2 linked regions of the Notamacropus eugenii genome follow. The protein of the gene in region 1 binds, or shares a complex with, the protein of each later gene. Links are inferred from orthologs where the notes say so. Each region holds a gene or a part of one and is shown in the gene's direction. Other genes may lie near its edges.

Evidence for each region. The genes of interacting proteins can lie anywhere in the genome.
Region 2: TAF1C (region 1) and UBTF share a complex: the UniProt entries of both Homo sapiens proteins name them as parts of the pol I pre-initiation complex. The link is inferred for Notamacropus eugenii from reciprocal best matches to the Homo sapiens genes TAF1C and UBTF.

What each region holds. Positions count from the first base shown.
Region 1 is NC_092872.1:697,982,813-697,990,654, reverse strand, and holds the start of TAF1C (TATA box-binding protein-associated factor RNA polymerase I subunit C), read left to right. Parts: upstream 1-4,838; 5' UTR 4,839-4,919; coding exon 4,920-5,126; intron 5,127-5,818; coding exon 5,819-5,915; intron 5,916-6,300; coding exon 6,301-6,398; intron 6,399-6,493; coding exon 6,494-6,583; intron 6,584-6,708; coding exon 6,709-6,782; intron 6,783-7,111; coding exon 7,112-7,350; intron 7,351-7,627; coding exon 7,628-7,744; intron 7,745-7,842. UniProt on the Homo sapiens protein: Component of the transcription factor SL1/TIF-IB complex, which is involved in the assembly of the PIC (pre-initiation complex) during RNA polymerase I-dependent transcription.
Region 2 is NC_092873.1:349,812,776-349,820,703, forward strand, and holds the start of UBTF (nucleolar transcription factor 1), read left to right. Parts: upstream 1-4,928; 5' UTR 4,929-5,058; intron 5,059-5,372; exon of another isoform or gene 5,373-5,501; intron 5,502-6,658; exon of another isoform or gene 6,659-6,775; intron 6,776-7,928. UniProt on the Homo sapiens protein: Recognizes the ribosomal RNA gene promoter and activates transcription mediated by RNA polymerase I (Pol I) through cooperative interactions with the transcription factor SL1/TIF-IB complex.

The sequences.
Region 1 (7,842 bases):
CTTTCAGGTCACTTAGGTTCTCCATCTTGTTTGTTCCATAGACCCCTTGGGCAGTCTGGCGAAGCCTAGGGATCCTTTCTCAGAACTGTGTTTTAAATTGCATTGAATATGAAAACCATTTTATATTGAAATATTATAATTAACATAATTATATATTGCATCATACATATAAAGGAAACAACTTATATTGAAATAAAGGTAATTTTTTTCTTTACCCATACAAGTTCATGAAACCCTTGAAATCCATCCATGGACCTTTTTAATAATAAATGTGGATTGATTCATGGACTTTGGCGAGGGCTGGGGTGGGGCGTTGGGGGGTGGGAGATAGACACGGCCTCAGGTTAAGAACCCCTGAACTAGTCCAACCCCACCCCGTTTTACAAATGAGGAAACTGATGTCCAGAAACACGAAGTGATTTGTCCAAGGTATCGGTGTGAACAGAGGTGGGAATCGTGACACCTGGTTTCTAATTAGGTAGCATTTATTAAGCACCATCTACTACAGTGCGAGGCATTGCGCTGAACTGGGGATACTAGAAAAGCCCCCAAACTTCCCTACTTTCAAGGAGTTCCCAATCTATCGGACTTTCTCTATCTGGTTGAATGAAGAATGAATGAATGAATGAATGAATGAGTGAATGAGTGAATGAATGAATGAGTGAATGAGTGAGTGAATGAGTGAATGAATGAGTGAATGAGTGAGTGAATGAGTGAATGAGTGAATGAATGAGTGAATGAGTGAATGAGTGAATGAATGAGTGAATGAGTGAGTGAATGAGTGAATGAGTGAATGAGTGAGTGAATGAGTGAATGAATGAATGAATGAGTGAATGAGTGAATGAATGAGTGAGTGAATGAGTGAATGAATGAGTGAATGAGTGAGTGAATGAGTGAATGAATGAATGAATGAGTGAGTGAATGAGTGAATGAATGAGTGAGTGAATGAGTGAATGAATGAGTGAATGAGTGAATGAGTGAGTGAATGAGTGAACGAGTGAATGAATGAATGGAGGGACACTTACAAGCACTCACGGTGCACAAAGCACCCGGTTGAGCGCTGGGGGATCCTAATAGCTCAGAGATCTAAAAAGGGGCGGGGTGTGGCGGCAAGGGCTTGGATTAAATCAATCAGTAAATTGACCGTTCGCTCAGTCACCTTCGGTGTGCCAGGCACTGTGCTAAACCCTGGGGAAATGGCAAAAAATAGTGCCTGCCCAAGGAGCTCCCCATCTAATCGTGACCACACACGACAGTCGCCTCTAACTCCAGCTCGATCGCGATCTTACGCGCGTCGTGACTTTGGACAAGTCTCCTCTCTTGGACCGGCTTTCCAGTGCTTTGTAACAGCAAGGCGAGCAGGGACGCAAGGTGCGGGAACGTTTCGGGGCCAGCTACAAAGCGCCAGAGCACCCTCTCCCCTCGGACAGTCGGGTTATTAAGAAAGTCCCTACCGTCCAGCTCCGCGTTTCTCCTGAGGCCTTGGGATGGCCCCCGCGGGCCACCATCCACGCGGCTGACAAGGGGGCGGGACCAACCCTGCACTGAGGATAATGGCGGCTCCTATTGGGGGAATGAGACTAAGGGGGCCGCCATATTTAGTAAGGCAGCTCTCTCCAGGAGGAGGACTTCCGGGGATCGGGTTTGGGGCTCTGGCTCTGGAGGATCCTGGGAAATCTCTTGGTCCCGCACATGCGCAGTGAGTGAGTCGTCAGTTTCTTTTTGTGTGTGGGCGTTTTTCTTCGTTTCCCACGTGTCTGCCTCGGGGTGGCTGGTGAGCCGGCTCTCGTGGGTACCAGTGGGCCCGTCTCGGCTGTCGGGGGATGGAGGCACCACCGCCGTTCTACACCGAAGGAGATGAAGAGGTCTGAGTAATCGCGGCTCCTTTCTCTGCTGGGTGGGGGGGTCATTAAACCCCCTTTCACAGACTGGGAGAGTGGGGAGGGGCTGAGCCTGGGGTGCAGCCCCGGCCTCCAAGTCTGGTACTGAAACGGTGTTCTCGACCCGCTTCCCAGGACCGGTTGGACTAGGGTTTGAATCCCAGACCCGCGACTGATGAGCCCAGGGACAGCGGGTGAGTCTCCTTCCCCTTGTAGGCTTGACTTTTCTGAAAGATGTAGGAGAAGGTTGTACTGGGCGGCCCTAACGTTCTCCTTCACAACCTGCCCCTTCCCTCCTTTTCCAGGATCCTTGCACTCCTTTTATCATATTCCCCTCCGAGTACTCTGCGATCCAGTGATGCTGGGCTCCTGGTGGTTCCTAGAGTGCAGCACGCCATCTCCCGACTCGGGGCATCTCTCCTGGCTGCCCCCCTCGCTTAAAATTCTCTCCTTCCTCGTCTCTGCCTCCTCCCCTGACCTTCTGCAAAAGCCTTTCCCAGCTTTCCTTAATATTGGTTAATTATCTCCAGTTTCTCCCTCTCCTCCTTCTCCCTCTCTCCCTCTCCCTCCCTCTCTCCCTCTCTCCCTCTTTCTCCCCCCTCTCCAGTTGGCATGGTGTCTCCCCCATTACACTCTGAGGTCCTTGAAAGCAGGGACTTTTACTTTTCTTGGGAGCCCCAGTTCTTAACTCAGTGCCATGTACTTATTCGTACTTGACCTGACTTGATTCCCCATCCCGCCTCTTTCTGCCACGCTGGCTGTCTCAGGTCTCATAACCAGACCTGTTCTGGGTAGAATACAACCCCGGTTCTATTTAATCGCATTCTCCCTAGATATGTCAGGTTTTTATGTCCCCACTTCAGGCATGCTGCAGCCTAATTCATCCCTTTCATTCTACCTCCTGTCTTCAGGTTCCTCAAACTTTGTCATTTAGTCTCACTTCCTGACCTCTCAGTTCCTCACCATCATTGACTTTCACCATTCCACTTCAGCTACACAGGGATTGGGTCAAATATTATCATTCCATGGTTCCCCCAGACTGGATCACTCAACCCCACAAACAACCCTTTACCCCACAAAATAGACTATGTTGTTGTTCAGTCATCCAACTCTTTATTACCCTGTGGACCAAACTGTCCATGGGGTTTTCTTGTCAATTATACTCCAGTGGTTTGCCATTTTCTTCTCTAGTGGATTAAGGCAAATGGGATAAGAGACTTGCAGAAGGGTCACTCAGCTAGTAAGTATCTGAGGTCAAATTTGAACTCAGGTCATACCGACTCCAGGTCCGGTACATTATTCACTGAGTCGTCTCACTGCCCTTAGGAATTCTAGGAATACTATGCTCCAGACATTGGTCATTGAACCCATGGGAATTGAGATCACCAAATAAGAGTGTGTAGAGAGAAAAGAGGGTCAAAGAGAGATCCTTGGGATACAACACAGTGGTTATTTTGCGAGTGATCTTTCAGCAAAGGAGACAGAAGCAATGGTCACAGAAGGAAGAGAACCAGAAAGGGAAAATAGTATTGTGAAAACCCAGAGGAAAGAGTTTCCAGGAGGAGATGGTGGTAAACAGTGCCAGAGTCTGCAGAGAGGTCAAGAAGGATGAAGACTGAGAAAAAGGTGTTAGATTTGGCATTTAAGAAATCACTGATGATTTTGGAGGGTTATTTCAGTGAAATGATGAGGCCTAGAGCTAGAATATAAAGAATTAAAAAGTGAGAGGAGAGGATGCAGAGGCACTGAGGACAGACAATCTAGGGGTTTCATTGAGAAGGGGAGGAGGTAGGAGGATTGCAGGGATGGTAGTTTTTGGTTTTTTTTAAGACCAAGGAAGACTTGGGAGAGTTTGTTAGTAGCAGGGAAGAAGCCAGGAAATAGGCTGCAATTGGAGATTAGAAAGAGTAGGTTGATAGTGGGACCACTAAGCTGGAAATGACAGAGGGAGATGGGATAAGGGTACCTATGGAGGAGTTGGCCTTGACAAGAAGAGCCTCATCTTCATCCCAGACTGGAGAGAAGGAGGGGGATGTTTGTTGAAAGGATGTGAGATGGGGAGGAGGGGAGCTCTCTGAGAATGGCCTCCGTTTTTTCAGCCTCTCAGTTGAAAGGGTTTGGAAAACAGTTGGGAAGCTTGAGAAGAGAAGGTTTGGAACAGCCGCCCAGGAGTGGGATAGAGAATCAGTTAGGAAGGATTTTAAAGGAGTGTCTTGTAGCATTGGGGCAGCTAGGTGGCATAGTGTGCCAGACCTGGAGTCACAAAGACTCTTCTTTCTGAGTTCAAATTTGGCCTCAGACAATTACTAGCTTTGACTTTTGGCAAGTCCTTTAACCCTGCTTGCCTCAGTTTTCTCATCTGTAAAATGAGCTAGAGAAGGGAATGGTGAACCACTCCAGAATACTCCAGTATGTCTGCCAAGAAAACCCCAAATGGGATCACAAAGAGTCAGACTGAATAACAACAACAAAAACTTGTAGCATTTAAGGCCTATCTGAGCTTAACTAGCAGAAAGCTGTAGTGGATGCAGTCTGCAGTTTTGTAAAGACCTCCAGCTTTATTCAGTAGCAGAAGGGGAGAAGGAAGCAGATGGTGGAGGCGATCCAGGATTGGGGTTGATCCCCCAAGAAGATAATGACTTTCCCCTTTGGATCACACATAGGTAATGCTTTGCATCTCTTAATGTACCTGTTCAACATTGTTCGTTTTTGTTACTTTTGTGTCTTATCCTAGACTTGAGTTTCATGAGGGGAGCGATCAGAACTGATTTAAATCATTTCTCCCTCAAAGAATAGCACGGTGGATGCCCTGCCTGTGTTAGGTGCCCAATGGAAATCTGCTGACTGAATAAATTGTGCTCAGAGGGGAAACCAGAACCTTCAGCACGTGAGCCCTGCAGACAGACTCCTGTGACAGAGAGTTTTGCTGAGGACAGACTTGGTTTTGAATCCCTTTTTACTCCCCTGTTGCCCCTTCTCTCAGGCTTGTGGCCCCATGAAAGCTTTTGTGTAGTGTTCCACTGATTAGAGAAAGAAAACATGTCTTTCTCATCTTTGTTTCATAGGAACCGAGACCTGAGAATTGGACACGAGCCCTGCACGCAGATGGATTTCCCTGACAATCTCTTTCCCACGTTCTTTTTGCCTGGCCCCCCTGGCCTGAATGATTCCCCTGGCTTGTATCTGGCCCCTGCTTGGAGTGACTGTATGCAGCTGCTGAAGCCCCCCCAGACCCAGGATCCATCGGTAGGAGCAGCCCCAGAGCCCTTTCTGGGGAACTGTTGTCTGGACAGTTGGTAGTTGGTACACAAGGTGCTAGTCACTTCTGCTTGGCCACAGGGATGTCTGATGTCCTGGGCACCCCAGAGACTTGAGGAACTTCTCATCCTTAGTTCCATAATAAAAGGAGAATAGTATTACCTGTGCTCTCTAGAACCTCATCAAGATCATAGATTTGGACCTGGGAGGGACCTCTGAGGTTGTCTTTATTTTACAAGTAAAGAATCACAGACATCAAGTGGCCTACTAAGTGTCAAAGCTGGGTTTTGAAAGCGGGTCCTCCGACTCCAGATCCATCGCTAGTTCACACCTTCCCTAGAGGGACAGGAAATGTTTAGATGTAAAGGATTTGATCTAGTTCAGCATTAATAATTTACAAGAACTGAATGGGTCCTCCACCCTTTAATCTAGAAGTATAAGGGATCTGAGAGGCCACAGAGTCCAAATCCCTCATTTTACAGATGAGGAAACTGAGACCCAGAGAAGAAAGATGACTTTCCTCAGATCACTCAGGTAGTAAGTGTCAAAGAGGGTATTGGAATCCAGGTGCTCTGACTTCAAAACTGATGATCTTTCCACCCTACCACCCTCTCCCACAAAATGGAGATTAACCTTGATACTACAAGTGTGGTCTACTGGAGTCTTTCCTTGTCCCCCAGGTTAACCCCCCCCAGCATGAGACATCGTATGTGACAAAGTGGGGAAGATGGAAGTCTGACACTCCTGGACCTCTGCCCTTCCTGCGCCCTGGTCCTGGTGAGGGGTCCTCTTTTTCTGTTCCTACCCCAACCCTACTTGCTGCTTTCTGACAACCCACCAAGTCCTTCCTCCCACCCTATTTTATTGGGGTACAGCCCCTGGATCCCAGCCTAAAGCTCCTTCTACGGAAGTTTCATTTAGCAGCAGCTGTTTGAACCACAGGCTCTCATCTCAAAGCCCAGTGTTGTCAGATATACATGTTTCCTACCATGGACAAGGAAATTAGAATGCTCCTACCAGATTCCTGGGATTGCCTCTTAGACTTTTATCTACCTTCTTAGGACTTCCTCCTCAATGTATTCTCAGACTTCCCTCCCAGCTCAGCTCCCTTTGCCAAGAACCTTGGGCCCCTTCTCCCTAATCTCCCTAATTTTCCCTTCAGACCTCTGGAACCCTGAGCTGACCCCCCGAGATTTGCTCTTCCAGGGGAGACTGAGGCGTCCATTTGGGGCCAAAGCGACAGTAGATGTTATGGAGCAGGTAAGTGGGCATTGGGTCTTTTGAGGGTTACTCTGGGCTCTGATCTTGGCCCTTGCCACATGTGGTCACTGTCCTTTTCTTTGTCCCCCTCTCAGCTCAACCAGTTCTTGTGGGATCATGGGGACATTGCCTTTGGGCCCCTAGGAAAGCTGCTGCAGGAGGACTTTAACCTGGGAAAAGCAAAGGTAAATTTGACGATTGGACAACTGGTAAAAGTGACCCCTGGCTGGCTGCAGTTGACCCCTAGTGACACAGGGAAGTGATGGGCAAACTGGCCAGAGGCAAGAAGTAACTGAAGCTTTCTCTCCAGAAATCCCGCAAGGACAGGACGGTGATGAATGCAGAACGGTTGCTCCAGGACCTCAGTGGACACCAGCCCAAGGGGCAAGTGACCCAAGGAGAAGAAGGGGGCGTACTGTTAGTCAAAACTGTGGGGTTCTAGGATTGGGAAGAAAGGAGAGTCAAGAGGTGGGATCAGCTGTCTACCAACTTTCTTCTCTGGTCACCCTCCTATGCTAACTTAGTGGGTACAATGGTAGCCCTGGGTTTGAGTCCCAGCTCTAAGCCTTAGTTTCCATATTGTAAAATGGGGATGATAATCCTTACACAACCTACTTTGAAAGGTTGCTGTAAGAACAGTTGCTTTATGATTTGTTCAGTGTCCTGGAAAGGGTGATCTGGTATTATTTTTAATGGGATCTTTCATCTCCCAGGTGCCCCTGGGCCCACTTGAGCACCCGTCAGCGACGATTCTCCCTCCTGGGGGGCACAGTGCTGGCTGAGGAAGTGGAAGGTCTGCTTGGGGGTTTGCTGCATGAGGAGCTGGAGACCCGCTGGAAGGGGCTACTGCTGGATGAAACTTCTACAGGCGGGGCTCTCGCTTGGGTCCCAGGGGCTAAACCCCATGTTGGGCAGCTGGTCTACCCTACTGGGCAAGCCTACAACCAGCTGAGTATCCTTCTGTGGGAAGGAGGAAGGAGACTGGCTTATCCTCTCTGACCAGGGACTTATTCCCTGATAGGGGGAAGGAGAAGGGTACAGGAGGCCTGGGAGGGATCAGTTGTAGAGCTAATGAGCCTGCAGTGAGCTGGTCACATGTAGAATGCTTGGTGTGTGATCCAAGTGCCTGGGCTGGATTTCAGACTCTAAGTGGCTTAGAGTAAATGGTTTCAAAGTTCCCTTCTAGACCTTGATCCTAAATTTGAAGACTGCCTTAACTGGCCTCTCAGACTTCCAGAAGGTAAAACTGTTCAGCACCCGCAAACCCCAGGCTGTTGGGGACCCAACCCAAATCTTGCTCCAGGGACCAGTCCGGCAGGTGGTGACCCGCACAGTCCAGGGGGAAGGTGAGACCCGTAAACATCTGGTTCAGTGGCCCCATTTTCCATTCCCCCCCCACCCCAGCCTGGACTGATTGTCAGGGATGCTTCCTGATTTAGCTCCT
Region 2 (7,928 bases), on another chromosome or scaffold:
ACTCAAAGGAAAAAATGAATTTTCCACAAAGACACCATGAATATCTACAAGAAATTTTTAAAAAATTAAATCACTGGAGGAAAGAATTGGAAGGAGAATTAATAGATTAAGACAGAAAGTAGCAAACTTACTCCCTGAAAACTAGAATGGACCAAAAGTCAATGTCTCCAAAAGACAACAAGAAATATTAGAACAAAATAAAAACATTGAAAAAATTGAGAAAAATGTAAGCTGATATAAAAAAAATCTGACTTGAAAAAGAAGTCAAAGAGAGAGAATTGTCATGTCGTTGGACTCCCTGAAAACCATTATTTTTTTTCGTAGGCTAGACACAATATTTTAAGAAACTATAAATGAAATAAATAAACGAACAAATAAATGAATGAATAAATGAATGAAAACTGCCCAGATTTATTGAAAGAACAAAGGAAGAAAGAAGAAAATCTACTAATCACCTCCTGGAAAAAAAAAATATCAAAAGGATAAATCCCAGGAGTTTCATAGCCAAAATCCAGAGCCTCTATATCAAAGGAAAAATATTGCCAGCATCCAAAAAGAAACATTTTGAATACTAAAGAACCACAAACAGGATCACACAAGACCTGGTAGCTTTCATAATATATGGAAGATGTTGGAACATGATATTCCAAAAGGAAAAAAAAAATGGGACTTATAACCAAGAATAATTTACCCTGCAAAGCTGAATATAATCCTATGGAGAGGGAAAAGGTGGAAGGATTTTTTTTCTCTCATGTTTCAAGTATCTCTGATGAAAAGATTAGAGCCAAGTAGAAATTTCGAAATATCAGCATGAGTCCAGAAAAACCTAGAAAACTAAATTTAGTTCAGCAAATGGAAGGAGTTGTATAATGATACAGTACTGAAGCTCCAATAGGAGAAGACATTTACCTTCAGAACCTCAATGTCTTCAGAGTATTATATAGCAGGAATTAAATTAGAAAAAGAAGGGCCTGATGGTAGATTGATTCTGTTCTAAAGGTTTTAAGAAGGAAAAGAGTAAAATAAAAGGAAATATACTAGTGTAGAAAGGAGGAAGAAAGGGGTGGAATTTTATATTCCTTATAATTGTTACACATTTAAAGAGCACACAAACATGGAGCGAGAGGGATGGGCATCAGCTACACCTTACTTTTATTTGAAACAAAGGTGGGTTGAACACACAATACAATTTAATGTAGAAATACATTAAACTCAATAGGGAAACAAGGGTGGGGGAGGGTGGTGTATAATTTGAGGTTAAGGGGAAGGATAATAGCTGGGAGAGAACAGTTACAAACAAAACAAATTTCCTGATCCTAAGACAGTATGGGAGGGATGTAACGGGGTGGGGGGGGGGGGGGCGGTTGGGGGGGGGGGGGGAGAAAAGCAAAGAGCTGCTAGAATCAAAGGGTGTGTTCAGCAACTGGGGAATGCCTAAATTCTTATTACTCTGTAAAAAAAAAATTACAGAAAAGCAAGATTTCAGAGAAATCTGGACAGCACAGACTAATGTAGAAACAAGACAATGATTTGTACAAGAACAATAATATTACAAAGGAAAACAATTTTGAAAGGCAGGAACTCTGATCAAAGCAATGACCAACCATATCTCTTAGAGGACCTGTGAGAAAGCATGTTACCCATCTCCTGACAGAGGTAATGGACTAAAGGTGCTGAGGCATACATTTTTGGATGCGGTCACTATGTGAATTCATTTTGCTTGACTATGTTTGTTCATTAAGGAGTTGTTTTTATCTCTGTGTGTATTTTTAATTGGGATTAGGGATGGAACTCTATGGGGGCAATAAAGCTTAATAAAAGTGATTCTTTTAAAAAAGAGAGCCATTGAAACTTTTTCTAAAAATTTGCAGAAAAGAAGGAAGTTTATCAGAAAGCATAGACAAGCCGGTTTTGAAATTAGCATGTGAAATTTATTATGTACTTTTAGAAACAGTATAAAATGGAGATTCATGGTTTCATAAACAAGATCTTTTTTTTTTATTTTGTTACGTGTATGGAAACTCACTTTTTTTGCCATTTAAGTTGAGGAAAATTAAAACAAAAAATTGATTTTCAAAAATCTACATATTTTGCTAGAATATTTTCTAGAGTACATTTTGCCTGCCTTTTTCCATTGCCTCCACAAACAAGTTGGTCACATAGCAGGGATTGTCTGGCCGGATCCCCATGCCCACCACAACAAAAATGGAAATGGAAGAAATTAAAGGGAAAGAAAAGAATTGTCATCATGCTCTAAACCCTACCTTGTATTTTACGTGTGTTCATGTTGTATCTATCTCCTCTAGTGGAATATAGGTTCCATGAGGGTAGACAGTTGTGCCACTTTGAAAAAGAAAGAAAAGCAAGCTTTGCTTCTCCAATGCTATTCCACATAATAGAACCTTAATCAGTCTTTGTTTAAGTGAATTGAAACATTTCCAGAGTTCACTGAGTCTACCCTATCTAGACTTTAATGCAGCTAGGTGAAGAAGTGAGTGAGTGGCCAGAATGCAGCTGAAATGAGTCAGGAAAGTTTGAGTTCAAATTCGGTTTCATGTACTCAATGCATGACCCTGGGCAAGTCCATTAACTTCTACAGGGTCTCTCCTGTTTCTCATTTGTAACATGAGGGAGTTGGGTTTGATAGGGTCTAAGGCTCCTTCCACCTCTAAATCTAGGAGCTTTTGAATGAAGTCAATCTGTTGATTAACTGTTTTTACTATTATCTTACTTCATGCCTTTCAAGCCAGGTTATCCTGGGGGTTGGGGAGGGGGTGAGTAGGGAGAAGGTTTGCTAGGGGAAGAAGGCTCGATGAAGCTGGGTTCCAATCTGCCAGGTCTCTTGTATTCACTTCCTAACCTCAAGAGGAAGGCAGTGGACATAAACCAAACAGCCTGCTTCCAAATGGGAAGGGAGCCATCTCTGACTTTTGTCAGTCAAGGAATAAAAACTCCATAATTGCCATTCCTGTAAATGGGAATAACCCAGCTTCATTCCAAAGTACTTTACATAATGGTGTCTTGGCCCAGCAGCACGTAAGTGCAGGCTAGGAGCCAGGTCTAATTCGGGAGAGGGAAATCTTCCTGAGCCTCAGTTTCCTCCTGGACCGTAGGGGACGCGAGAAGGGAGGCCGATTGCGTGGTCACTTCCAAGGGCCCTTTCAGCTGGAAATACCATGCCAGTAATACACCGGTGAGCGCACAGAACATCCATCTACCGTTGCTACATTGTCACCATCCACAGACACTGATTCGGTTGTGCTCCAGGCACAGCGAATGTGGATACAGGGATATCCTAAATGAAATAATCCCTAGCGGAGAATGTAGCACTCAGAAGCACCAGTTTTGGCCTGGGCTTCCCCCCCATTATGTAAGCAGGCAGATGTGTGATGAGGTTATGCTGGGAACGTGTTTTGAATCCTCCCTGGAAACAGGAGGGAATACACAAGCGTCCGGCCATCCCCTAAACACATGCTTTGTGGGTGAGAAAAGCAACTGTATCCGCACCAGAGTGTGCGTGAGAGTGCAGGGCGAGCCTCGCTGCCCTCCGCCCGAGGAGAAAGGCCATCCCACCGCCCACCCCGGCCCAGGCACCAGTACAAGCCTCGTGGAGGAGCTCCCCTCCTAGAAGGTCCCTCGGGTTCCCAGGGCTGAAAGAGCCATTTCCTCCGCCGAGGAGACAGAAAACCAACCGGCCAGCAGAAACCTCCTGCAGAGGAGGAGGGAGGGCCCAGGCGCCCCCCACCCCCTGCAAGTCTCCGATAAACCCCAGGCCCCGGAGGGACAGTTAAAGCTGAGAAATGCCTCCTCCTTCTCTCCCCGCCCCTGACGCAGGCCTAACAGGAAAGAGGCCGCCTAGGAGTAGAGGGGGATCCCGGCCAGCTTCGGCAGGCGGGGGCTGGGGCTGCCTGGGTCCCTCCCGCGCCTCTCGCGCCGGGCGGGGGTGGGGGGGTTGAGACTGCTCCAGCCGCCCTTTCTCCGGGATGACCCAGGCCTTTTTGACAAGCAAGCTGATCCCGTGGTGGGGATTGGCTAGCCGGACCGTGACGCCCATAACAACAAAGGTGGAGTTGGAAGAAATTAGATTAAAGGGGAGAAAAAAAATTAAAGGGGGATCTCGCTGGGGCGAAAAGGAGACAGACCGAGAGGGAGAGAGAGGAGAGAAGGCCGATCCAGCTCCCCATCTGCACCTCTCCCCAGCCCTTTCCCCGGAGCCCCGCCTCGCTCCTAGCTCTCCCTTCGCTCTCGAGCTCGGGTTTGGGGGTTTTTTTCGCCTAGGGGTGGGAGGTAGGGGGAGTCTTCTCTCTGGTTGGTGACAAGCCTCCCTCTTCAGCATCATCGCCCACCCTAGGGGAGAACTTTTGGAGAAAATCACGCGTATTACGAATTCCACGGAGGGGCATAAAAACCAGAAGGCCCTAAAGGAACAGAGCTGGAACCGAAGGGGGGGGTGCTTTTTTGTTTTTCTGGAAATATAAGAAGAGAATTTAGACATATCATACCCCCCCCCTTTCTCCTCCTCCTCTTCTCTTGGCTTCAGTGTTGCAAAAGCAAAGAGCAATAAAAAAAAAAAAACGCGCACACAGACACACACAGAGACACACACAACACCCTAGTCGCGAGAAGGGAGAGTTGAAAAGAAGCAAGAGGGAGAGAAGCCAGGGAGAAAAGAGAAGGGAGGGAGGGGTGGTGTGCGGGGAAAAGAGAAGCAGGTTTCCTAATAAATCCACCTCCGTCTCTCTCCCCCCCCACCCCCCTCCCCTCTTCTCCAGCCCAGGGTAGGGAAGAGAGGAGCCGGAGAGAGCAGATGGAGGAGTGGAGTCCGCTGTAGGGCTGTGGAGCTTGGCTGGAGGATGGAGGAGCCGCCAAGCGCCCGGCTGATTGGAAGAAAAAAGCAGAGCGATGGAGGCGGGGGTAGGAGGACGATTTCTCTGCGGGGACTGGCGGCGGAGTCCACGCCCGGGTCGGGCGCTGCAGAGCTTGGCTAGCTTTCAACCAGCGCTCCCCGGCACCAGCCCCACTCGCCCCCCACCCCCGGCCCTCCCGGCGGCTCCGCAGGTGAGTGCGAGAAGGAAGGGGAAAGCCACAAAGAGGGGAAAAGTGGTGGGGTTTTTTCCTTTTTCCAGCCCCCCAGCGGGAGGGGAGGGGTCGGTGGGGGGAGATTGAGGGAGCTCGGCCGAAGAGGAGGGGGAAAGGAGAGGCCGGGGAAGGCCTGGGAGGCGGCGGCGGTGGGGCTGGGGCACTGACAGGGCGAGCGCTCGGAGCGCTGCTGCGCTGCGCCGGGGCGGGCGGACGGAGCGGGGCGGGCGGAGCGCCGCGCGTGTGGCTCGCCATTAGCCGTCCCTCCGCTTCGCCATCGCGGGCTTTGTCTGGCGACTCGCTCCCCTGGCGTCGGCTGCAGCGGTAGCTGCGGATCGGCTCTACGTCCCGCTCCCTCGCCCAGCCACCGCTCCCCGGATCCCCCGCGGCCCTCGACCCCACACCTAGATACACGGAGCCGGGTAAGGAAGCCCTTGCGTCGCCGTATTTCAGGGTAATGGGGGAACGGAGAGAGGAGCTGCGGGAGGCGGATCTCCATGCGCTCGGGGAAGGCCCGAGCGAGCCATGCCGAGCCGAACTGAGCCTGCTCCTTGGAGGCAGCACTTCAGACCCGATTCCCGCGGCGTTTCCGGGGTGTAGAGAGAAATGGAAAAAAATGGGGGGGAAGGGAGGTTTGCTGTGATTTTTTTTTTTAAACAAGATTTTGGGACAGTGTTTTTCTGAGAAGGCGAGCGAAGCCCGGCGAGAAAGGGGAGAAAGCGGTAGCCGCCGCTCTGCGGCCAGCTCGTTCCCCGGCCCCGCAGCGCCGATTTGGGGGTGAAGGTAGTGGTAGTAACGAGGAGCTAGCAGAGGGAAGAGGGCACGGATTATGCCCCGGGAGGTAGACGGAGAAGCAAAATTTCTGTGCCAGCTCTGCAGAAAATAGATTATGGAGATTCCTTTGCTCCTTCCCAGGGTCAGGGAGTCCCCTCTCCTGGGCCCGGGCCTTGCGCCCTCCAGCTCTGGCCGAGGCTGCTAGTTCTCCTACGGGTCTGGGGAGGTCGCTCTCGCCGCCAGTTCACTCCTTCTCCCCGGCCCCGATCTCCACCGCCATCCGGGCGGCTGCGTGTCTCTTTCCCTCGGCCCCCCCCTAGCCGCCACCAGCCACCGCTGCCGCCGCCATCTCCCCCCCCTTACTTCCCTCCGCCTCGGCCGCCCGGGTCCCCCCCAGCTCCCCGCCCCTCCTCCCAGCTGCCCCCCGTGGAGCCCGCCCGGGCTGGGCTGTGGGAGGGAGAGGAGCCTTCGGGGCGGGCGGGCGCTCGCTCCCCGGGGGTCGGTGTGCGCTCTACGGGGAAGGACGCGCTCGCTGCCCCGCTTCTCCCGCCCCCCCTCCCCGCTCCTCCTCCTCCCTTCTCCCTCCTCCTTCCCGCTCCGGCGGCGGAGGCTGCAGCGGCGACGGGGGGTGTGCTCGCTGAGCCCGGGGCCGGCCGGCGGGCGGGCTGGCTGCCTGCAGGCGGAGGGCGCTGTGCTTTGTGCTTTTCGCCGCGAGGAGCAGCAGCAGCAGCAGCCGTCGCCGCCGCAGCCACAGCCGCCGCCGCCCCAGCAGCAGCAGCAGCAGCAGCCGCCTCAGCAGCCGCCGCCCCAGCCGCGCTCGGAGGAGGAGGAGCTGCCGCGGGAGGGAGCTGCGGCTGTGCCCGGCAGAGCGGGGGAGGAGGGAGCCGCGGGAGCGGGGCGCCCGGACGCCGAGCTGCGCCCGGTAATCGCGGGACCAGGGCTGGGGAGGAAGAGCGAGAGCTTGCGCCGGAAGGCGAGATCGAGCAACGTGGAGGGAGGGGAGCGAGGGCCGAGCTCGGGAGGACGGCACCCCGGGAGCACGGAAGGGGAGAAAGGGCCGGAGAACGTGGGCAGGGGCCGAGGAGCTGGAGCAGGAGGACGGAGCTGGAGGCCGCGCGAGGGGGCCCGAGCCCCCGGGAGAAATCCTGCCCGGGGGGAGCTGGAGGAGGAGGAGGCTGGGGGGGAAGAGAACGCTGGGCAGACGGAGGAGGACGCGCGGGGCAGCCGGGCGCGGGGAGGCCCAGGCCGAGCCTGGCCGCGGGGCGGGGGAGCCCGCGTTCCTCCCGGGGCGGGAGCCGCAGTTCTCCCGGATCGCCGGAGGGGGCGGCGGGGACGGCGAGTCCTGTACGCCCCCGCCTGCCCGCCCGCCCGCCTCCCCGCCTGGCTGCCTCCCTCCCTTTCGGCCTTGGCTCGGCTCCCCGGGGGCCGGGGCGGGGGCGCCGCCCGGGCTGGGCCGCGAGGCCCGGGGGACGAGGAGGTGCTGACTCCGACCGCTGGGGCCGCGGCTGCTGCTGAGCCCGGCTCCGGATCGGGGGGCGGCGGGTTCCCCCGGGGCTGGGGGTAGGGGAGAGCTCCAGCTGCTCGGCCCGGGGCGGGCTGGCCCGGGCTGGCGGCTCGGGGAAGGGGGGGAGGGCGGTAGGAATCCGGATCCGGGTCCCCGGGGGCGGTGCGGCCGCGGCGCTCCGGGGCTGGCGGTGCCTGCGCAGCGTCCGGGTCCCCGCCGGGCTGCGGAGGCGGGGGGAGCAGGGAATGGGGGGGGCGGAGGAGGAGGAGACTGGCGCGCGCGCCCCTGTTCCCGCGGCGGCGCGCGCCCTTTACCCGCCCTTCTCCTCCCCCCTCTCCTCCGGCCACCCCCTCCTCCGCGCGTGGAGAGAGTTTTGTTTTTTTCCTTGGGGTGGAGCTCGCTGCACCCTGGAGCCCTGAGCAACCACACACGTGGGGGCCTGGGAGGACTCCTGCAAGCCTGCCCACCTCCCCTAGACGGAGCCCTGCTGCAGGGGTGGGCATAGAGTAGGGGGTAGTCCAGAGGGTGGGTGGGAAGTGTGGAGACTGCCCCCTTTCTTTCAGGGGGAGAA